Linked DNA regions of Macaca fascicularis. The protein of the gene in region 5 interacts with the protein of the main gene of each other region in a pairwise test. Links are inferred from orthologs where the notes say so. Each region holds a gene or a part of one and is shown on either strand. Other genes may lie near its edges.

The links. The genes of interacting proteins can lie anywhere in the genome.
Region 1: the proteins of BANP (region 5) and SH3RF2 interact in binary tests that used the Homo sapiens proteins (3 or more experiments, as listed by UniProt). The two-hybrid records come from large-scale screens. The link is inferred for Macaca fascicularis from reciprocal best matches to the Homo sapiens genes BANP and SH3RF2.
Region 2: the proteins of BANP (region 5) and FAM117B interact in binary tests that used the Homo sapiens proteins (3 or more experiments, as listed by UniProt). The two-hybrid records come from large-scale screens. The link is inferred for Macaca fascicularis from reciprocal best matches to the Homo sapiens genes BANP and FAM117B.
Region 3: the proteins of BANP (region 5) and ZMIZ2 interact in binary tests that used the Homo sapiens proteins (3 or more experiments, as listed by UniProt). The two-hybrid records come from large-scale screens. The link is inferred for Macaca fascicularis from reciprocal best matches to the Homo sapiens genes BANP and ZMIZ2.
Region 4: the proteins of BANP (region 5) and POGZ interact in binary tests that used the Homo sapiens proteins (3 or more experiments, as listed by UniProt). The two-hybrid records come from large-scale screens. The link is inferred for Macaca fascicularis from reciprocal best matches to the Homo sapiens genes BANP and POGZ.

What each region holds. Positions count from the first base shown.
Region 1 is NC_088380.1:152,721,912-152,726,744, reverse strand, and holds the start of SH3RF2 (E3 ubiquitin-protein ligase SH3RF2), read right to left. Parts: upstream 3,010-4,833; 5' UTR 2,878-3,009; intron 1,721-2,877; 5' UTR 1,615-1,720; coding exon 1,237-1,614; intron 1-1,236. UniProt on the Homo sapiens protein: Has E3 ubiquitin-protein ligase activity. Acts as an anti-apoptotic regulator of the JNK pathway by ubiquitinating and promoting the degradation of SH3RF1, a scaffold protein that is required for pro-apoptotic JNK activation.
Region 2 is NC_088386.1:98,501,673-98,506,606, reverse strand, and holds the start of FAM117B (protein FAM117B), read right to left. Parts: upstream 3,010-4,934; 5' UTR 2,823-3,009; coding exon 2,228-2,822; intron 1-2,227.
Region 3 is NC_088377.1:85,593,003-85,597,692, forward strand, and holds the start of ZMIZ2 (zinc finger MIZ domain-containing protein 2), read right to left. Parts: upstream 3,010-4,690; 5' UTR 2,938-3,009; exon of another isoform or gene 2,756-2,937; coding exon of another isoform or gene 2,578-2,755; intron 1-2,577. UniProt on the Homo sapiens protein: Increases ligand-dependent transcriptional activity of AR and other nuclear hormone receptors.
Region 4 is NC_088375.1:109,754,312-109,759,184, reverse strand, and holds the start of POGZ (pogo transposable element with ZNF domain), read right to left. Parts: upstream 3,010-4,873; 5' UTR 2,982-3,009; intron 1-2,981. UniProt on the Homo sapiens protein: Plays a role in mitotic cell cycle progression and is involved in kinetochore assembly and mitotic sister chromatid cohesion.
Region 5 is NC_088394.1:83,976,501-83,980,466, forward strand, and holds part of BANP (protein BANP), read left to right. Parts: intron 1-1,302; coding exon 1,303-1,446; exon of another isoform or gene 1,447-1,621; intron 1,622-3,966. UniProt on the Homo sapiens protein: Controls V(D)J recombination during T-cell development by repressing T-cell receptor (TCR) beta enhancer function. Binds to scaffold/matrix attachment region beta (S/MARbeta), an ATC-rich DNA sequence located upstream of the TCR beta enhancer.

The sequences.
Region 1 (4,833 bases), on a different chromosome or scaffold from region 5:
TCTTCCCACCCTCATTTCGAATGTTTACACATGCCCTATGGGTGGTTTAAAGATGCAGTGAACCCAGGAAGCGGTAGCCCTTAGAAGGAAAATTTTGGAAAGTTGTTCCAAATGCATATCACAAGCCACTCCTCACTCCTGAGTAAGGAAGCAGTCCTGCAAGACCCTCCCACACACTGTTTGTCTTCTGAGCAGGGAGATGTAGGACCCTGCTGCCAGCATTTAGACTCTAACGCTTGCTCTAGGTAAGACTTCAAGGAATGCAGCTTTGATTTTCTAAGTATGCCAATGGCCCAAGCCACAGCTTTCCGTGTCCACTTTGTTACACTGACTCCAGGGGTGACAGTGCAAATAATTCTGCTGGACTCACAAGGACCATGTCCTTCTTTCCAGATGTGCCCTTACACATTATCCCACAACAAGACTCATAGCCAGGTCAGATGAAGTCCTCGGGGTGTGCTTTCAGTGCTGGACAGAGCGATTCCCATTATCCAAACATGAAAAGCATTAATCTCCTGCGAGGCTTAACTGGGTCTGTTTGGTTTTTTAATTGCAGCGCCTGCTGTGTATCTTCTGTGTATTTCATTCATTTTGCAAAATGAGACACATCTGCAGAGCTTCTATACACAGCTGATGTACTTCACAGCCCAGCCTTCGCTATCAATCAGTCCACCCACATAGACGCTTCCCTCCTGCACTATCTCCCTCGTCAAGTATCTTGATAGCTTCGAACAGATTATGAATGAGTATTGCCATAATAGCACTTTATGACTAGGGGTGGGAAGATGGATTTGGGTAAAATTCAAAAAAAACTTGACATTTGGAAATTTCCAAGAGATCTCAAAAGCAACAAGCAGTTGGATTTGTTTTCTCTTTTTTTTCCCCACCCTCCGTGCATTTCCCAGGCACTGGTTTGGCCTCAGAAGAGCAGAAATCAAACACCAAAAATATAATCTAAAAGGCTTTCCTTGTTCTACTACTTTCTGGACAAGAGGAAAGGAGAACCTAGGAAGCTTTAGTAGTTCTAAAGAGAATTCTTAGATAGATTAGGTAGGCTCAGGCTTCCATCGTATTTGAGTAAAATGATCACTGCCCACAGAAACGTATCACTGGGGAATCACCAGCAGCACTCTGGAATGTTAAACTTGTAGTTAAAAGAAGATAATCTCTAGCTCCTTGTATACACAAATCCAACCTCCATGTGGGCATGATATTAACAAATAAGATCTCTCTTACCCCATCCATGTGGATTCTGATATTAGGCACTAGCCGGAAAGGACTGGCCTGCAGACGTCTGGGGTTGGTCCTGTTTTTCCTGCCATCCTGCAAGGTCATCATGCCGGGCCTGCGGAAGGAGCCTCCTCTCCCGGAGCTCTGCCCTGAGCGCACTCCATCGAGAAGGCGCACGAGCAGCAGGTTGGCCGGCAGCGCCTCGATGCTGCAAAACACAGGCGTCCTGCATTCGGGGCACCGCAGCTCTTTGTGGGCCTTGAAAACCCTCTGTAGACATGGTTTGCAGAAGGTGTGCTGGCAAGGGAGGACTTTGGCTGTGACATCGAGCTTCTCAAAGCACACAGGGCACTCCAGAAGATCAAGTAATGTCAAATCATCCATTTTATTTCAAAACTCCAGTTCCCACCTGGAGGAGCAGAGTCCACATGATAAGGTCAGTTGAGCAACGGGGGCAGAGCTGGCCTCTTGAGAACGTCAGAATTCTTGCCTGCGTGAAGGAGGGAGAGGAGAGAAAAAAAATGTGACTGCTCCGAGAGGTATATCCCACCTACATCGAGGCAGTGTCTCATAAGGCAGTTTGCAAGTACTTTGTTCCGGCACCCAAGTTTCAAATGACTCATTCTGATTCAATGCTAGCAGGTATAAGACTCAACTCGTGCTTGCTGTGAGGATCAGAGGAACACTGAGCACAAGACTGACTGTTCATTGCCTATGTGGCCAGGAGAGCAGAGAAATAAACTGGCCTGCTGAAGTGGCTCCCCAAGCCCTCTCTACCAGCCAGGGCCGGGAAGAGTTCCTTCACCCCTGCCTGGGGAAAGCTCCTGACAGTCTCAATTCTTACAACAAAGCCCCCTCCGAACGCAAGTTCTGTGAAGTTATCTCCTCCTCCTCCTTCCCCTAAATCTAAGTGTATCTGTTATCTGCATGACATGCAGATTAGTTTAGGTCGGTACGTTTATCTGAATCTCATGCAGATGTAGAATTATTTCCTTTACAATATACCTTCCCACATGATGCTAGCAATGAAAAATTTCCATTAGAAACCCATTTCCAAAAATTGTTTTGCCTTAACTACAAGTCAGGGTGCTTGGAAGCTCTGTTTCTTTTCTTTTTTCATCTTTGGTTCTTTTTTTTTTTTTCTCCTCATTCTGATTACCTTAGGCTCAGAGACAATATTCCTCCCACGAGGTAAAGTAGTGCAGCCTGTTTAGTTACTTTGACATTGTTCTCAGTTTCAAACGAAGCAGATAGGAATTCCGGATTGTGGTCACAACCTGTAAAAACCATACTGGGGCAGCATATACAGGTAGGGGTCGTGTGTGTGTGTGTATGTGTGTATGCATGTGTGTGTGTGTGTGGTCTGAAAACAGTACGTATTCCAGAAACAAGTTTCCTTTTGGATGTATGAAAAGAAGCCTCCAGTTTAGAAAAGTGTGGGAAGAAGTCAGCTGTCCCTCACAAGTGCCAGGGCTTCAGTGAGTACTGAGCCCAGAGGTTTGGCAAGAAGGCCAGTGGCTCCACTAGCGACTAGTCAGCAGGACAGATACGACGCGAGAATGAGCGATGGCGCCTCGCCTTTCTAAGACTCCTCTCCAAAGATGTCAGCGCGGCGGCGGGCTGGGGAGGCGTGTGGGGGCCACTAACCTTGTGCGTGTAACCTCTGCTGAGTTCAGCTCAGCCCCCTCCTCCGCGCAGCAGGGGTGCGCGGCTCCCTCCAACCGGCTTCCATTCCCCCAAGCGCCGCTGCTGCCACCGCTTTGAAAACTTTAACCACTCAGTCTTACTCATTTCAAGGGATCGCCTTACCCAGCCCTGTTAACGCTTTCACCGCCAGGCTGCTGCCTACCAACCACGCTTTTGTTGTTGCGGTTGTTAACTTTATGATCTTTCCTTTAGTTAACTGAATTGTTTCTGGGAAAAGATGGTAAGAGGTAAAATATCAGCCAGTCCCTGAGGCCAAGTATTTACAAAGTTCCTATTTTCACCTTTCCCGGTTTCTCTAGTATCCAAGGAGTCGGAACCTGCTCCATTATAAACATACCAAAGTGATTGTGTTTATTTTAAACCTTCATAAGGATTTCCTGGGAAGGTCAAAAGTAAAAATGGTCAAGCTATGAAAATAAGGATAAGCCAGACACCTAGAAAATGTTGCTCTTTGAAAATCATAGTCAATCTCTACATTTAGAGATAAGAGGGACTTTAGTGATCTTTTTGCTCAATCTGTTTCCATTAAGAAACTAGTGTCACATATATACACATACGTGAAAAATCAAAGCACAGAGAAGCTTTTTCAAAAAAGGAAAAACAGTGGCCTCCAAGCTCTCTTCCTGCCTGTTATCCACTGTAGTCTTTTCATATCCTCAGATTATGCCTATATTTCTATTTTTTGATTTATCAATAATACATTTCATGTAAAACTACAAAGGTATCCATTTAAGTGAATAATAACGATCTTAATGCCAGGGTAGTCCTTATCTGTGTCAACCACTGTTCTAAATACCTTACCTATATTAGCCTTTTAACCCTTTAACAACCCAAGGATACACTAAATTATTCTTTACTTTCATTTTGCGGATGAGGGAACTTGAGACACAGAGAGGGTAAATAACTCATCCCGGGAGTCACAGCTCCACCACAGAAGGCAAGTGATCTGTGCTCTTAACAATGTCATGGAGTGATATAACTTTAAGAGGCTGGCCGGGTGCGGTGGCTCACTCCTGTGATCCCAACACTTTGGGAGGCCGGACGTGGGCAGATCACGAGGTCAGGAGATCGAGACCATCCTGGCCAACATGGTGAAACCCCGTTTCTACTAAAAATACAAAAATTAGCTGGGCGTGGTGGCACACGCCTGTAGTCCCAGCTACTCAGGAGGCTGAGGCAGGAGAATCACTTGAACCTGGGAGGCGGAGGCTGCAGTGAGCCGAGATCATGCCACTGCACTCCAGCCAGGGCAACAACAACAACAACAACAACAAAAAGAGGTGAAGAGGTGGTTCAAGGGAGCTAAGCCTCCTCTAAGAGGGCAAGAGGTCAAAAGATAATGGCCAATACTGGCTTCTCATTTTTTCTTACAGATGAGGCAGCTGTGCCCAGAAAGATCAAGAGATTCTTTGAAGTTGTCCAGTGAGTTAGGGGCAGAATTGGGACTAGAAACTAGGTGTTTGAGGCCAGGTGCGGTGACTCACGCCTGTAATCCCAGCACTTTGGAAGGCTGAGGTGGTGCAGATTGCTTGAGGTCAGGAGTTTGAGACCAGCCTGGCCAACATGGTGAAGCCCGATCTCTACTAAAAATACAAAAATTAGCTCAGCATGTTGGCTGCGAGTGCTTGGGAGGCTGAGGCACAAGAATCGCTTGAACCTGGGAGGTGGAGGCTTCAGTGAGCCAAGCTTGTGCCATTGCACTCTAGCCTGGGTGACTAAGACTCCGTCTCAAAAAAAAAAAAAAAAAAAAAAAAAGAGAAACTGGGTGTTCTTTTTAAAATTATTGTTATTACTGTATCTATAGACATAAGGATGGCAATTATTTATTATGCAGAGAGTGCTCAGACACAGCTCAATGGGAAAATCGTAAGAGGAGACCAGGAGGTCTGAAAACAC
Region 2 (4,934 bases), on a different chromosome or scaffold from region 5:
ATTAGCCGGTCATGGTAGCACATGCCTGTAATCCCTGCTACTCGGGAGGCTGAGGCAGGAGCATTGCTTGAACCCGGGAGGTAGGCGTTGCGGTGAGCCAAGATCACGTCACTGCACTCCAGCCTGGATGACAGAGTGAGACGTCGTCTCAAAAAAAAAAAAAAAAATTTACTTAACTAAGTACATGTAATTTTGGCCTGCTATATATTTCCCACATTCTATCTTACACATCATGATGTCACTTCCTTGATATAATATAAAGACATGGTCTTTGGAGTACAACTGACCAAAGTTCAAATAAATACCAGCTCTGCAACTTGTTACTTAACCTCTCTAAAAGCCATAGTGAAGGTTAAATGAGATTTTGCATAAAAACTACCTGACACATAGTAAGAGTTCATCAGGTGACAGAGGTTATGAAGCGGGGAGGTGAAGTCTAATACTTTTATCACAGTTTTAGAAAAGCATTCTGCATTCTCAAAAGATTTAAAATAGTGCTCTGGACCGGGCAATCCTAGCACTTCGGGAGGCCGAGGCAGGCAGATCACCTGAGGTCAAGAGTTCCAAATCAGCCTGGCCAACATGGTGAAACCCTGTCTCTACTAAAATACAAAAATTAGCCGGGCATGATGGCGGGTGCCTGTAATCCCAGGTACTCGGGAGGCTGAGACAGAAGAATTGCTTGAACCCGGGTGACAGTGGTTGCAGTGAGCCGAGATCACATAACTGCACTCCAGTTTGGGCGGCTGAGCAAGACTCCCTCTCAAGAAATAAATAAAAATATAAATACAAATAAATAAAACAGTGCTCTAGTTCTAATTAGAAAGCACTATTCGGGCAGCGCGCGGAGGCGCACGCCTGTAATCCCAGCATTTTGAGAAGCCGAGGCGGGCGGATCACCTGAAGTCAGGAGTTCGAGACCAGCCTGGCCAACATGGTGAAACACTGTCTCTACTAAAAATTAGCCGGTTATGGTGGCGGTCGCCTGTAACCCCAGCTACTTAGGAGGCTGAGGCAGAATCGTTTGAACCCGGGAGTTAGAGGTTGCAGTAAGCCAAGATCGCGTAACTGTACTCCAGCCTGGGTGACAGAGATTCTACCTCAAAAAAAGAAAACACTATTAATCATTTTCCAGGGCAATTATCTCTAAAAAAAGTATTATCTAAAACTTTTCATAAACAGTAAGAAAGAGTCATCCTATTCCTTCCATTTCGGAAACTATTTCATCTGAATTTGTTTCCTGAAATTCCCAACCATTCTGCCTGGAAGATTCTAACAGAACTATCCCAGTAAGGGAAAGACAAAGATATATGTTGACAAAAATGAATACATAATTAAAAACCACATATTTATTTTCTCAAGGCAACAAGATGATAAATTTTATTCCTTTCCACTTCCCACAATTTGAATTTTTCTTTTGAGTTACTCTTTATGAATGACTCCAATGGCACCCACAGCTCCATTCACGACTTTCCCCAAGAAAGCTTCCAGGTAAACAGAAAAACAACGAATGTTAGCTCCCTAAAACAATAACAAGATGGAGACAAACACTGGATTCTGTTTTTCTACATTCAAACAACAGAATCAGTACACAAAATCAGAAATACACCCAGAACCTCAGACAAAACCCATAAACCTTCCTAAGGAATCTTGCTTAATTCTCACTTCTTGCTACCCATTTATCAAAGTCTTGGAAAATGCTAAAACACGGGTCTCAGCCTCGTCTGTTCAGTGATCCAAATCTGCCACTGCTAATGCATTCAGTACCCCAGATTTGAAACTGTTTTGTGAACAGAAATACTTAGCAGCAGCAGATACGGGCTATGCCAACATTAACCTTGTGCCTAAAACAAAGTGATAAACCACTCCTAGCCTCACCCTCAAAGGAGGGTAAGCAGTAACGACTCCTCCAGGAATACGGCCAGGACGCCAGGGTTATCATTAACACTCATCAGCTCAAGCCCAAGGTTTAGCCACTGCACCTCCACCGCCAGGGAGCCGCGCGGGGCGGGCAGAGGAATGAATGAGACGGGCGGGCGGGGCGCAGGGTAGGCCCGGGAAAGGCGGGGCCGCACTGCCCGGTCCCCACCGCCCGACACCGCCCCCAGCCCCGCCCCCAGCCACCCGGGCTCCGCGGCAGCGCTGCATTCCCCGCGCGATTGCAGCGCGCGCCCGGGACTCCTTCCCGCCGCCGCCTCCCCCTCGCTGCGCGACCCCCAGCACTTACCTGCTTTGCAAACCGGGGCGCTAGGGCTCCTCTTCTCCGGCGAGCTTCGGCTCTGCTCCGGAGACCTCCTCCGATGCCGGACGCGGGCTGGGGGTGGGGCCGCGCTCACCTCGCCGGTCCACAGGTGGGTGGGCGACGAGCTGGGCGACGACACGGTGCCCAGCAACGGCGGCGGTGGCGGCGGCCGTGGGGGGCTCCCGCGAGCTCCAGGCGCGGCGCCGCGCGTGGGGCTGGTGCCTCGCGTGGACGTCGCGGACGCGCCCGTCTGCGTGGCCACCGTGGGGCTGGTGCGCGCGGCCGCGTTCCCGCCGCCGCGCGTGGGGCTGGTGCTGCGCAAGGCGGTGCGCGGGCCGCCGCCGCCGCCTGCGGGGCCTGAGGCGCCACCACAGCAGCCACCGTTGTTGTTGCCGCCGCCGCCGCCGCCGCCGCCGCTCCGCGTGGGGCTGCCATGTTGCTGCTGCTGCTTCAGCTGGAACGGAACCGTCGCCCTCATGGGCTGCAAGCGGCTCCCGGGTCCCCCGGCCGTGGCGACCGCACCACCCCCAAGGGAGCCGGCCGGCGTGGGGGACCCATTGCGCCTCACCCGCTGGGACATGGTCCCCCCCTCCCCGGTGACTGGGCGAGACGGGGGGTTTTGTTGTTGGGCTGCAGGGGGAGGATTCTCGAGGCCGGAGGGCAGGCCCCCGCGCGGGGTGACGAAGCTGGACTCCGGGGTGCAGGGGGCGACCGGGCCGGGACCGGCAGCAACGAGGTGGTGCAGCCGCCGCCGCCGCCGCCGCTCCTCATCAACAATAGTGTCTCCTCCGCTGCCCCCGCCCCCCACGATCGCCCATTGGTGCAGCGTCAGCCGCGCTCGAGCCGCTCTACCGCTCCCATTGGCTACGAGCAGCTCGGGTCCCGGGCCCCCGAGGCCTTGAGAGCCTGGGTGTGCGCGGAGACCGTCTGCTCTTTAAAGAGAAAGAGACCCGCCCCCCGCGGGGAGGGAGCGGAGGAAATGGGCAGTGTGTGTATGTGTAGTGTGCGCGCGTGTGTGTGTACACGTGAGTGCCCGTGTACGCGCGCGCCTAGCCACGCGCGCCTTTCCCTTCCCGCAGTGGGGAGCCCTGGGGACTCAGACTCTGGAAGGTTGCCAAAGGAAATGTCCGGACCCGGAACAGTTCCCAGGGATGGTCTGAAGCCTTTTCCGCATAACTCATTTCCTTACCCCAGTATTCACTTGTATTCACATGTACGCGCCTCTCCTTCGGGCTTTTATTCTTAATGTTTTTGTTCTGCCCTAATTCCATCTACCTATGGACAGGGCTCAAAAGGAGAAGAAATTTAACAAATCTTAAGTGGCATTTTACACCCCTCTCCTTTTCTTATTTTTTAGAGCTCTACAAAGAGGCAAATCTCAGAAAGATTAAATTTGCCTGTTAGAATGCGGTTTTAGATAGTATCTATGGAGTTCAGTTACCACATGTTATTCCTACCCTCCTGTATCTCAAGTAATCAAGACTATTTTAATCAGCTGCTTCGCTGTTCCCTGATACCTTGGAAAGATGGCTGCTACCTTACCAGTCTGTAAAATGCTATAGTTTACAGAGGGCCTTATTTGATTCTACACGATCATTGTTTGAGACAGAACTGGGCCAGCCATCCATGTTTTTGTCTAGTGGAGGAAACAAGTCTTTGGTGTGGCAAAGACCCAGGAAGGCAGGCAGTGACACTAGTTCTAAAATGGCCTAAAGGGCTCCTTATCAAGAAAATAAAAAATGGTGGACCCAAAACCTACACTCCCACCTCTCTGGCTATAAATTGCCTATCCATTACCTCTTTTCCCTGTACTATTTTTATTAGTTGTACATGCTAGACAGATTTCGTCGTGTAAAAATGTGGGAGTGGAGACCATAGTATGATTCACTCTGGACCTGAAATCCTACTGGATCCCTGTGCGCGGTGGTGGAAGACTTTTGTTTTGTTTTGTTTTTTTGAGACGAAGTCTCGCTCTGTCCCCCAGGCTGGAGTGCAGTGACTCGATCTCGGCTCACTGCAACCTCCGCCTCCCGCGTTCAGGCAAATCTCCTGCCTCAGCTTCCCAAGTAGCTGGGATTACAGGTGCGTGCCGCCACGCCCGGCTAATTTTTGTATTTTTAGTAGAGAAGGGGGTTTCACCATGTTGGCCAGGGTGGTCTTGATCTCTTGACCTCATGATCCGCCCATCTCAGCCTCCCAGAGTGCTGGAATTACAGGCGTGAGGTGGAAGGCTTTTAAAGACCCAGAGAGGAGACCGGGTGCGGTGGCTCATGCCTGTAATCGCAGCACTTTGAGAGGCTAAGGCGGGCGGATCACCTGAGGTCGAGAGTTGGAGACCAGCTTGACCAACATGGAGGAAACCCCATCTCTATTAAAAATACAAAATTAGCTGGGCATGGTGGCACATACCTGTAATCTCAGCTACTCGGGAGACTGAGGCAGGAGAATCGCTTGAACGTGGGAGGTTGGAGGTTGGAGGGAGCCAAGATCAGGCCATTGCACTCCAGCCTGGGCAACAAGAGCGAAACTCTGTTTTAAAAAAATTAATTAAAAAAAAAGACCTAGAGAGGAAATTCAAATCCCATGGCCACCACTTACTCTGTGACCTTGGGTAGGTCACTAGCCAGTCTCCTTATCTGTAAAATGCAGTTAAACAATACCATGTGCTTCATACAGTTGTTATGATTATTAA
Region 3 (4,690 bases), on a different chromosome or scaffold from region 5:
TTGGGTTGGCCTGGCCACTTTGCTGTCCCAAGAAGCACAGGGAGGGAATCTGGCAGGCAAGCAGAGGTGCCTCCTCCCCCCACCCCTGGTCAAAGGCCTCAAAGTGCAGGCAGCACTCCGTGCAGAACTGCCTCATTTCAGGTCACCTAGCGCAGCAGCTCCTCAACTACAGCACATCAAAACCAGCTTGCAGCTGGTGATGACAGGCTGCCTAGCTCCACCTGAAGTCAGTAGGCTGGGCTGGGGCCTAAGCCTGTAATTTCTAACAAGTTTGCAGCTACTACTGCTGCTAGTCCAGGAACTATAGTTTGAGAGCCTCAGATCTAGGAAATGGAGTGAGCTGGGAAGAAGGGGCACAGGGCAGGTACAGGGAGGGGAGGAGCCCACAGCAGGCTCCTATGTCACATGGGCCTGGGGAATTCCACCCCTGATGCTTCTCTGCTGTGGACAGAGACCACAATTTCCAGTTCCCTCTGAGCTTACTCTTCACTGCACAGGGGGATTTCCTGCCGACCCGAACTCATGCCTCTGGTCTCCTCTCTGAGGACAGTCTCTTTAGAAAGACTTCCAGTCTCCAGGTCTGGTATCCTTGACCCTCTGCCCCTGATCATAGGGAAGCGTTTCTACGTTGTGTGTGTGCAGATCCTCCTCCCATCTCCTGGCTCTGAGTCTGGGCTGGGAACAGCCTGGAGCCTGGAATCTGGATTCCAGATCAGGCAAGGCCCATGCCCACCAAGAGTCTTAGTGCCTGGCACTTTCCTTGTAAACTAACTCCAGCTGGAAGCTAGGACCCCTTGAAAGATGGACAAGGTCAGTCTAGAGGGCCACAAGGCTTTCTGGGGGTCAGATCACATCTTCCTCTAGACAGAGCTACACAACTCACTACCCAGACCTCTCTTACCCAAGTGTCCCAGAGTAGCTGCACCCCCAAGTCTCCTGGTTGGCCTCCTGAGCCTTGTTCCATGCCACCTCTCTGCCTGCCTTGTCAGTTAGGAGCAGGACCAGCAAGTGGGCCCTGTGGCAGGCAACCCTTCTCAATAGGTCACAGATCAGGTCTCACTGTCTCCAAGACTGCAGGGTCAGGATCCAACCTGGGTGACAATGGAGTCAAAGGGTCTTGAAGAAATGATGGCTCTGGAATGGGGCAGGAGCGGGGTCCCTAGTAGCAAAAAGTGGGGTGCTCACATGTACAGGTAGCTGAAAGTCCTGCCCCCTCTACCTGTAAGGCCACAGTACTAAACTGCCTAAGCGTGGGGCTAAGGCAGGATGCGGGGTTCATCAAAAAGTCCAGGAATAAGCAATGGCCCAGGCATGAGACGTTTCAGTGAACAGCTGAAGGGACAACCTTAACCTGGCATCAGTTTACAATGTGTTAAGATGGGTATCTGGTGGCATCCTAGGACTGAGGACACATGACCACCTTCATCTCATCAGCCCTTGGGAGCTCAATCCCAATAATCAAGATGCTCCCCAAACATCTTAGGCCTGTCCTTCAGAAATCTACACCGGCAACTGTCATCTGCTTGTTCTCCTCATTTACACTTCCAGCTTGTAACTACCCCCTGGGCATGACAAGGGCCATTCAAGGGTCAGTACCCCTGAAAGTTAAGATTCCTTCACTTCTCCTGTTTCACTAAGCATCAAGGGATGCCCTCTGGTTCTAGCTTGCCAGAACTTGGTGGTGAGTCTGTGTCCATCCTATCCATAATCACCACGGTCTCAGACCAAGTCACATGTTCTATGTGTGTCCCTGTGAAATCTGCGATGACACAAATTAAAGACACCACCATGGATGTTCTGTAATACTGGAAAGAGGGTACCCCAGGGAGAAGGAGAGGCAGAACACTGCAGGGCAGAGGGTCCAGGGAATGGGAGGAGAGACAGGGTAGGTGGAGGGGTAAACAAGGCACCGGGTGGGGGTGCCGCGGTGAAGGACACCTGGCACTAGGGAAGACAAGGCACCTCAGGGGAGCAGGGCATCCTCACGCCTGAGCTTCAGTATGTCCAGTTTGCAAAGGGGTGTCCTCATCAAAACTGCCAGCTGGGGGCTGGCAGCTCAGCGTCGTTCAGCCCAGGAGCGGAACAGCTCCTCGGCGAGCAGGTGACGGCCTCAGCGGGCCCCCACATTGCCCTGTTGTGGGCACGTAAGTGGGAGCGGAGGGGCGTACCATGTAGGTGAGACTGCCTGGCCCCAGAGCCAGGAACGATCAGGTTGGAGCGAAGGCCCGGCCAGCCTTCATCGCTCAGGAAAACCCCGAGCGCCGCTTACACCCCTCGGCCAGCCTCCAACAAAGACTCAGGGGAGGGCTGGACGACCCTGACGCCCACGGGGCCGAGCCTGCCCAAGACCACGACGCACGCGTGGCAGGTGCCGGCAGGTGGGCGGCAGAGCCTTCAGCCCCAGCCCGGCTGCGAACCCTACCGCGGCGCCGCAACCGAACTGGGGCGCCCCGGGCGACTGGCTACACCTGCCCGCCCGCACCTGCCGGCCCGCACCTGCCGCACCTGCCCGCCCCCGCCGGCCCGCACCTGCCCGCGGGCGGCGTTGCCAGGGGCCACCCCCAGGGCCCCGCTCACCTCCGCCCGGCCTGGCCCGGCCCCTCGCCGTGGCGGCCCCCGGCCCGCGCCGCTCCATGCGCTCAGCCCGCCCTCCGCGACGCCCGCCGCCCCGGGGCCGCCGCCACCCGCGCCATCGCGCCGCCGCCCGCTCCGAGGGCACAATGGAGCCGCCGCCGCGCCGTTCATGCATATGCATGACGCCGCGCAGCCGGCCCCGCCTCCCAGGCCAGAGCAGCGGAGCCCCGAGCCGGCGCTCGGGGCGGGGGCGGCCGCGAACCTGAGCGGCCCAAAGCGGCGGGGTGGGGCCAGGGCCGCAGGTAGCTGGGCGGGCAGGAGACGCAGCCTGATCGCGACTTGCGCCCCCAGCCCCCTCCACACCTTTCCAAACGCGGCGTCGGCAGAGCCACCGCGCGCTTCCTGCTCGCAGTCCGCCAGGAGCGGGGCGGGGCCGGGCGGCGGAGGCGGGGCCAGGACGCCGGGGCGGAGCCGAGTGGGCGGGGGGGCCAAGGTGCCGGGGCGGGGTCGGGAGGAGGAGGCGGAGCCAGGGAGCCGGGGCGGGGCCAGGGTTCGGGGCGGGCCCCGGCGGAGGAGGAAAGGAAGAGTGAGTCCTTGCCCTTCCCCCACCCGCCTCGCCCGCGCCTCCCCTGCCTCCTGGGAGTCCATTGCTCTGGCCCGGCGGGCGGGGACATGACTGGGAGACGCAGAGACCCGGGGTGCCTCTTTTGGGAGGGGATCTTATTAAGGGACTCAGGAAGCCCCTCGTTAAAGCAGAAAATCAAACTTAACTGAACAAGTTCGCTTTCCTTACTGCCCAGTTCTCTCTTCCCAGCGGTTCTACTCCTGGAAAAAGTCACTATTGAGCTAGTCTAGCCTGATGGAATAGCCTCTCTGATCAGTTTCGACCTCTAAAATGCTATTATCAGCCTTTAAGTTATTCTTGACTTTTCCTACCGTAAGTTGAGGAAGACCACATTCTCTCAACTACCCATAATTAAATTTTCTTAATTGTGGTAAAATATACATAACGTAAAACTTACCATCTTAACTGTTTCCAAGTGTAGTTCTGTGGCACCAAGTACGTTCACATTCTTGTGCAACCACCATCCGTCTCCAGGACTTTTTCATCTTCTCAAATGGAAACTCAATACCCAGTAAACACTAGCTCCCCATTCTTTCCTCCTCCCAGCCTTTGGCATTCACTATTCTACTTTGTCTCTAAATTAGACTACTATAAGGACTGCGTATAAGTGGAACCATATATTATATGTCTTTTTGTGACTGTCTTACTTCAGTTAGCACAATGTCCTCACTTTCGTCCATGTTGTGGCATGTGTCAGAATTTCCTTTCTTTTTTTTTTTTTTTTTTTTTGAGACGGAGTCTCGCTCTGTCGCCAGTCTGGAGTGTAGTGGTGCAATCTTGGCTCACTGCAACCTCCAGCTCCCAGGTTCAAGCTATTCCCCTGCCTCAGCCTCCTGAGTAGCTGGGACTACAGGGGCGCGCCACCACGCCTGGCTAATTTTTTTTTTTTTTTTTGTATTTTAGTACAGACAGGGTTTCATCATGTTGACCAGGATGGAATCGATCTCCTGACCTTGTGATCCGCCCGCCTGGGCCTCCCAAAGTGCTGGGATTACAGGCGTGAGCCACTGCGCCCAGCCCCTTCTTTCTTGTGGCTGAATAATATTCCATTGTATGCATATTCCACATGTAAGTTATCCATTCATCCATCAATGGATACTCCACAATTAATTTTTGACATTGTTAAAATTTCTTCCCTGAAGCCCGCCTCTGAACTCTGTGCTCTATTTCTTTTGGGAATCATTCCTTCATTGAACAAATGTGGCAGGCCTGCTGTCCAACAGTCCCTGGTCTGGGGTCTGTGAACACTGGTCTGTCCCCAGGGACCAGGAGAATAAGGCCCCTCCATCCTTAGAGTAAGCATGTTAGAGGGGACAAACAGTAGGAAATGAGTTAACAGGTACCAATGTGTCCATCAAAAACAGTGTTAGGAAGAAAACTAAAGCAGGGCCAGAGAATGGGGAGGGAGTGATGAGGTATGAGGGATGGATTCTCTGGGGAGCTGGCCCTGAAGAAGAAACCCGAATGAAGGGGGAGGCAGGCACCAGGGGA
Region 4 (4,873 bases), on a different chromosome or scaffold from region 5:
GCTATATCTGGTATTTTCAAAGGCTCTTTTACTTTTGCTTGATTTTGCAACATCATGCATTGGTCATCTGCAAAATACAGATTTACTAAGTTATGCCCATCTTCCAAATGACATATTATACAACATTTTTAAATATTACAGTCCTTAACCACTGATATCATAAGGGAAGTTTTTTAAGTACTAGGAAGCTGTCAAACTCCAGCTGTCAACTTTTTAAAAATTCTAATTTTCACCCAAATTTTATCACTGGTAATAAATACTGTCAATTGTTTTCCTAAAAGTGACAAGCTCACTTCATTTTCAAGAAATACCTGCCAAATACTAAATGTGAAAAACCACAGTTTGCCAGTCGCATGGTACTCCATGAAATAAGCCACTCACAACCCAATCCCACAAATGCTTTTCCCTCATGACAACAATCACACCTCCGTAGGCAGCATAAATGCTTTATCCATGTTTATTTCATCACAAATTCTTAAAAATTAAAAAGACAAGTAGTCAAAAGCTAAGATTTAATAACAACAGGCGGGGCACGGTGGCTCAAGCCTGTAATCCCAGCACTTCCGGAGGCCGCCGTGGGTGGATCGCCTGCCATCGAGTTCGAGACCAGCCTGGCCAAAATGGCGAAACACCATCTCTACTAAAAATACAACCCGGGAGGCAGAGATTGCAGTGAGCCGAGATAGTGCCACTGCACTCCACCCTGGGCGACAGAGCAAAACTCCGTCTCAAAAAGATAAAAATACAATAATAAATTTTACTGCTTCAAGGGCATTCTCAAGTAAGCAGTTTGGTGCCACTGACTTGCTTTGTGCTAAGGTACCGTCAGTAGTTTTACCCAGCATTGCTTTTGAACCATCAGCGTATCAGTGAAAACAATAAATAGCATCTTACTATTATTTTGAAAATAATTATGACCTTGAGGCTCTCCTGAAAGGGTAAGAGGAGATCCCCACAGGTCATCCGCCCACACTTCGAGAACCGCTTTCCTATATTATACCACTAGTTCAAGATGGGAGTGGAAACTCTAAATCACGTTCGTCCCAAGAGTCCATGTACCTCCTTAGTTTGAGATACACCAACACAGCTCTGGAAAAGGGAAGGAAATCAAGGGCACAAGGTGTCATTTGTTTCAACATCTTGAACACTTTTATGTTAGACCAGTAATTTTCAACGTAGTGGTCACATTAATCAGCCTCAGCCGCAGGACTGCTCATTTAAAACTGTAGAGATGACAACTCCCCTCTGCTCCATTCGAATAAATTTGGGGGATGAGGCTCCCCCAAATTGTACGTTTAACAATCTTCGAGTTACTTTTTATGCACCCCGAAGTTGAGAATGATTGTACTAACAGTTCGAATTCAGAGTTTAAGCTCTCACACCCTGAGCAATGGTGTCTCGAAATTAATCGTTTGCCAAGGAGCAGCCCTCCCTGCCCCCTCCGTTTCCCTTTCCTCTAGTTGGGTAAATGCCTACAAAAGTAAAACCCCGGCCAGGAGCGGTGGCTCACGCCTGTAATCCCAGCACTTTGGGAGGCCAAGGCGGGCGGAGCACCTGAGGTCAGGCGTTCAAGAGCGGCCTGGTCAACGTGGTAAAACCCGTCTCTACTAAAAATACAAAAATTAGCCGGGCGTGGTGGCACATGCCTGTAATCCCAGCTACTAGGAAGGCTAAGGCAGGAGAATCACTTGAACCCGGGAGGCGGAGGTTGCAGTGTGCAGAGATCGTGCCACTTGCACACCAGCCTGGACGACAAGAGTGAAACTTAGTCTCAAAAAAAAAAGTAAAACCCCATTTCTGTGGAGTCTTGAGCTGCGGTGAGAGGTGTCCACGGGCTTGGAGGGACGGGCTACACCGCCTGCATCAAGACAGCGGCTGCTCTGAGATAGTCCAACTGCATCTTAATTTCCATTTTGAAAATGAGACTGGCCACCAAATGACTCTGAGGACTCATCAGCACTACCTTTTTCTGAACTAAGAATGTCCAAGACAAGTGCTACTAGCAGTTTGAGAGAATCCCACATCTGGAGAAGAAGGAAATCAGAACACGCAGAAAGAGGGAAAGCAAGTAGATTAATGACAGTACTCCTTTGCAAAAGCTGCCAAAAATCTAAAGAAAATAGTCCCCGGGATAAACATGGCGCCCACCGCGGCAGGACATAATCACCAGAAAATAGAGATTCTCCGCCCCATCCCATTTGATAAATCACGGCGCCATCCCTAAAGAAATTTGGGGGCCGAGGGAGGAGAGTTCGTAAACTAGCTGCAGTGCACTAAGGCTTAGGATGTACTATTAGACCAAGGAGAGATTACATAACAAGGCATCGGCTCAGCAATCACTCATTTTCCTCCTCCCGCTCAAAACGAGCGCCCCACTCCTTCTCCGAGCGGGGACCGGGCGGGGAGGGCCGCGCACCCCCACCCCCAGGGGCCGCTCCGCCGCCGCCCGCCCCCGCCGCCGCCCGGCCTCGCCCCCTCGCCGGCCCCTCCCGCCGCGCTCCGCCGTCTCGCCGCCGCCCGCGCCCCCGCCCCTTCCCCAGCGGGCCACCGCCCGCGCCCGCGCCGCCCACTCCTCCGAGACGCCTCGCGCCGGGCGTGCGTGTGGACGTCGGGCTGTGTGCAGGGCCGTGGGGCGCGAGTGCGCGCGCGCGCGCCGCGACGGGCGCCAGGGGGCGGGGGTGGCCGGCCAGCCGGCAGGCAGGGGCCTCCGCCGCCGGCCCTTCGCGCAGCTCCCGCGGCCCGGGGCGCACGCACACACACTCGCGCTCGCGCACCGCGCCCTGCGGCCGCCCCTGCCGCGGGCCGCGCCGCCACTCGCGGTGGGCGGGGGCGCGCGCCGCCGGCCCCCCGCCCCCACCCCCGCGCGTACCGGCCCCATCCCCCTCTCATTGTCTCGCCTCGGAACGCCTCGCCGAGCGAAAAGATAACGGAACCCCCGGGAGCAGGGGGTGGGGAGAGAGAAGGCTCGCTCGCTCACTCACCTCCCGTGGTCGTCGCCGCCGGTAGTCTGACCCGAGAAAGGCGCCGTCGCCTTAAAGGGACCTTACACCCGGCGCCAGAAGGGGGTGGGAGCAGGGAGGGGACAGGGGCTTGGGGGGAGACGAAGAAGAGGTAACCGTTGAAAGCTCGTCTCCCCAAGGGTGAAAGGAAGCCTCCCTCGGGTTCGAGTGATTTGGGGTGGATTTTTTTCCCGAGGGGGGCGGGGGGGGCCCCGAGGGAGGGGGGTGGGGGGGCCAAGGAATGCGGCTCCGTGTACGGGAGCTGGCGCGGGGGAGAGAGACGCCGACTCCCCCCACCGACCCTCTCGCCCCGCGGAGGGATACGGCTCGTCACTTCCGCCCTCCCCTTTTTCATGGCCTCCCAATTGGTCGGAGCGTGCTGCACGTCATGGGCTCATCCAAACCCCTGCCCGGGCTTCTTTTCTAGTCAAGTTTGGCTGGGCCTGCAAATAAATAAATAAAGGAAAATATTTTTTATAATGAAAAAAGAATAATTAGTTTCAGAAGCTGTATCTAAATTTTGGTGAGAAAAATGAGACTCCCAAAGAAAATATTCCCCAATTTACTTCCCTAGAGTTTCCAAGGAAGTGTTGGGAGGCTCCCCCACTTTCCACTCAAGGCTTAGACCCAGTCAAGAGGAGGACTTCATGATACAGGCCAGGTGGTGAGGCCCAGTGGCACCAACAACTGTCATTGGAACAAAGAACAAAATGGCACTCACTCTTTCTCAAGAGACACTCGGCCAAGTAGCCTTGTGGCTGTGGCCTTGTTTAAGTGAAGAACTTTTAAAAGCCATTTTGATCCTCATGCCCTTCTGGATCCTGGAAAGAAGTGGCACACGATTGTTAAAGCGATTATTGTGATGGAAACTGCTTTGCTTCCATTGTGACTAGATTCAGCAGAGATCCCCAGTTCTAAGAAACCACACACACTCCACATCCTTATGCTTTTTGCTGCAATCAAGGCTGAGATGGGTTGGCTCAAAGAAATTGTTTGGTCCACTCAAACGACCATCCACCTGTTTATTCTTCCCCAAACAAAAACTACCTCTTCTCAGGTAGCTGAGAAATTTTGTCCTTTGTTGCTTTCTGAGATTATAAAAATTAATATTTTCCTTGAATATTTGAAAATGTTTGCTATTTAAGCAATACACAAATGTTTGCTTCAAACCAAGTACTTGGTGCAGAAAGGGGAAATCCAGAATTATGTTTATTCGTTCTCTTTATATACACACTCCATTCGAACCACCAGACTGTGAAAATAGGCAGTGGAAGTAGGCATTCCAAATTGTATGCACCTGCCCGTGCACACACACATACACACACTGTGCACACACACATACACACGCTGCCACCACCTAGCTTCATTACATTTCATACCAAAACCATGTGAGTGATTTCCACTAGTGTGGGATGCTTAGGAAGGACTTCATTATTTGACTGAGAAGAATCCCTATCCTTCTGAAAATACTTCTGAAGACTTACCAGACCTGATCTGGAGAAGCAAGCCCATGTTAAGATTCTAGGATCAATCACCAAAAGACTATATGAAACTCAAATCCTATTTTATGCTGTCGTGTAATTACTTTAATTCATTATATATATCTACATTATGTATATTACATTACGTATTATTAACCTTTGAAAAATTCCAACATATTTTCCCATGCTCTGTCAATTTATTCTCTCAGCCAATGAGATCTAGCGCAGACTATGCCATATACCGTTGACCAATGACCATTAGCATGCTTTATTGAAAGTGGATCAGGCCGGGCGCGGTGGCTCAAGCCTGTAATCCCAGAACTTTGGGAGGCCGAGACGGGCGGATCACGAGGTCAGGAGATCGAGACCATCCTGGCTAACACGGTGAAACCC
Region 5 (3,966 bases):
GCCCACTGAAGATGGAGGTTCCTAGAATTGTTGTGTAGCACAAAATTTTTTTTGCATTTTTTTTCTGCCATTAAAAATCATTTAAAAGCCATTCTCAGCTCACAGCTGTACAAAAGCAGCCAGCAGGTTTGATCTGGGCGCCATACTTTGCTAACCTCAGTGTAGAGTAAACTATACTTTGTGTCTTTAAAAGGCTTCTCTTCTAGCATTGCAGGTGAACTTTGCTTAGAAACATAACCATTTTTAAAAGCACATGTAGGTGAAGTCTAGTCTTTAAAGCACTTGTAGGTGAAATCCCTGGTCTGGGGCTGTCTCTGCAGTGTGTTTGCAGGGGCCATGCTTGCTCTGTGCAGTGCTGCTGTCGTCCAGGGCAGGTCCCACGGGAGGCCCGCTGTGGCCAGGTTCCATGGGGTGGGGCGCCCTGGGACAGGGGCTGCTGCTCTTCCCAGGGCCACCAGTGAGACTCTCAGTGTGTAGAGTGCGGTTCTGTGTGGAAGTTGTGGGGTGCATCTCCTGGCCCTCCCATAGTGGGACGCAGCCTCAAGTGAAGACCCCACAGCCCATGTCGAGTGCCTCAGAGCTGAGGCCGCCCACCTGCCTGCCTGGGCCCTCTTGACCCCGGAGCTGCCTGCCTGGCTGTTGGAGCGCCTGGTGGATTGAGTGGGAAGTGGGTGTAGGTGCTCACAGGCGATGGGGTCACCAGAACCCACCCAGGGGCCCCTCACCTGTCCCCCATTCTCATCCCACACTCTGGGAGGTGGTAGAAGGTCGGGAGGGCCAGCGGGACTCTGCCACCAGGACTCACTTCCGCCCCTCTTGGAACCGGGCCTCGCTTTCCTGCGAGCTTCTCCTGAGTTCTCAGTGCCCACCTTTGCTCTCCCTGAGGCCTTGAGGTGACTCTGCCTTGGGAATGGGGAGGGTTTGGGTCTCAGCCTCCCTCATGGTGCTGGCTTGGGTCTGAGCCCTGACTGGCACTCTGGGAGCCTGTGCTCTTCATGGTTGCCATTGAGATTTTTCCAGGAGGCCCTGTGGCATTGGCTTTTGCTCTCTCTGGAAGCTCTGCCTTGCTTTTTTTTCCCCCTTTTGTCCGCTCTGTAGGTGCTTGAGGGGGAGTTACAGATCCAGCAGAGGCTCAGTGACACTCTCCCTGGACCTGACGCGACCCAAGAGTGATGGGGAGACAGGATGTGCCACTGAGTCCTCGGTGTGGCCCTGAGGCCGTGTCCCTGCCGCTCAGGGTGTGCAGTCTGCAGAGCCGCGTGGGTTGTGGGCCATGCCACTGACGGGACTGTGTCTCTCCAGGTGCTGCAGGGCGCACAGCTGATCGCTGTGGCCTCCTCGGACCCCGCGGCGGCGGGCGTGGATGGATCACCGCTCCAGGGCAGCGACATCCAGGTTCAGTACGTGCAGCTGGCGCCAGTGAGCGACCACACGGCCGGGGCGCAGGTGAGTCTGGGGCCCCGCGCCGGGACACTGAAGTGATGGCACGGCCGCCTGCCGCTGCCACCGGGCACACGTGGCCCCGGGGCTTTCTCGTGACTCCTCCCGTGCGGAGGGCATGTGATCGGACACGGATGCCCATCTGAGGGTTCCACGTCTCCCACGCACCATGAATGTGAAGGTGAGAAGGTAGATCCTGCCCCAGTTCTAAATTTCAACTGATTCTGGAGACTGTCCTGTGGAAATGTTTGTCAGTTCAGGGGCAGAAGTGAAGCTCTGCCCTGTGCTCCCTCCACGGAGCCCTTTCCTGTGGGCTGGGGAGCATGGGGGCCCTGTCAGCTCGAGAGCTCCCTGCCCCTTGTCAAAGGCCTCAGCTTGGGGCAGAGCCAGCACCTTGGGCCATCATGACCCTGGCGTCCGCCACCTTGGGCCATCATGACCCTGGCGTCCGCCGAAACAAAGTGCAGGTCTGCTGTGCTCTGTGGATGGCCTGGTAGGCTCATGGCCAGCATCTCCAGACCTCGCAGGCGGAAGCGCCTGAGGGTGCGGCTGTGCTGACATCCCCAGGGTGGCCGAGGCCCAGACAAGAGCCCGTGATGCCATGGGCTGTTCGCTCTGAACACAGGAGGCGGAAGGTGGCCCTGTGTCCCGGAGCAGGCTTGGTCCCGCAGCCTCCGTGCCGCCTGGTTTGGGAACGTGCCCAACCGGGACCTTTTCCTTGTTCTTCCTCCAGCCGGGTGGTTGGCTGCTGCCCAGCCCTTTGGGAACATTCTGGCTGCTGTCTCTGGGTCTGTTCCTCTCCTTCCTGTGGACCCAGCACTGGTGATCCCCCTGTGTCTTGATGCCATCCATCTTCAATGCTTAGAATTAAAATCCTAGATGTCTGAGCAGCCTTTCCCTGCTCCCCGGGCGCTGCTGAGGGTGGGTGTGCCCGTCAGCCCTCGGGAGGAGTGGAGTCCTCCTCAGGAGGCGCTTGCTGAAGAATTGGGCTCAGTAGAGCCCACGCTCACCAGGGTGTGCAGGTCGCCCGGCTGGGCAGTTCTGCAGCCCCTCAGTGGCAGCAGCCACGCGACGGTGTCAGTGCTCGCCTGACACTCACGTCGTCTTCACAGCATGGCAGCTGCGGGCCCAGAGTTTAAGGGCCCATGTCCTGTAGAAGGCCTGGCCCCTCCTGCAGCCTGAGCCTTCCTGCCGTGCCGATGGGCGCGGTGGTCCCTGCACAGGCACGCCCTGTACTCTGTGCCCATGGGTGTGGTGGCCCCTGCACGGGCATGCCTTGTACTCTGCATGGTGTTTGGTTCTACACTGTCGCTGACCCCACTGGAGATGGGCTGGTAGCACATGACAGTCATGGGCACAGAATGGGCAGGCGGGAGGTGGGGGGTGGGTGGGATGGTGAAGGCAAACTCATTGAGCAGCGCTTATTTTATGTGGTGTGAACCTTGACCTGCCCGTGAAGAACAGCGAGGCGTGGTCAGCCCATGCTAGGACACATGGCGGCCCCTTGTGCTGTTCCAGACAGGAGCGCTGCAGGAGGGCAGTTAGGTCCGCGCCTGGGAATCTAGATGTGGGGGCCATGCCTGAGAGCTTCTGCTGCATTATAAGTTTCTGGTCATTTCCAGATTTCACAATTGAAGAAACCTGTGTCCCATGGTTGGTGTTTACACCCCTAGCTTCCTTTAAGCTTTCTCTGTCACCATGCCCTCCCTGGCAGGCCCCAGGTGAATGATTTAATTAGGATCCATCGTAACAGCGAAGGAAGACAGTGTGCTTAACGGGCCGCTTTCCCTGCAGAAAACCCCAGTGTGGTTGGACTTGGTGGTGAGCAGGTTTGCCTATCCGAGGCCAGGCAGCTGCAGGGTGCGGTAGCTTGTCACCAGCTGCACAGCTCTCTGCCTTACCATCTCAGCTTGTCCTCAGGCTAGCTCTGCCCCACTGGGAAGTGACCGAAGGCCTTCCTGGTGGCCCTGCAGGCGTGACTGCACCCAACAGAAACGGGTTTCTGGTTAAGCCTCCTTATCCACTGAAGCTCCCACCCCAGCAACGCTCGGGAATGGCCTGGCATCTTCCGTTGGTCGGAGCAGGGTCACACACATGAGCTAATTCTAGGAAAACCTGTGACTCGGCTGTGAGGGCCTGGCTCTGAGAAGATGGGGTTCCCTTAGGAGGGAAGGCAGGTCGCTGGCCTGTGGGGGTGGCCAATCCTCAAAGTGGAGAGTGGGGCCTGTTCCCTGGAGCAGTGGATTGGAAGGGTAGGGGGGTGCTATTTGCAGGGAAGACACTTGTCTTAATGCAGGGTGGCCTGCGGGTGTCATAGGCTCCCTGAACCATCTGTAGCAGGGGCAGTGCCTCCACCAGCCTCTGCCTGGAACATGGGTCTGGCCACCATCCTTGGAGGGCAAGTGAGTCCCTCCCAGCCAGCCCAGACCTGTGCCCCACTGTCCTCACCCACCCTGGTCCCTAGCTGCCTTTCCAGCTGTCCGGGGGAAGGAGCGTTGCATCCCAGGCAGTGGCCCCCCTACCCCA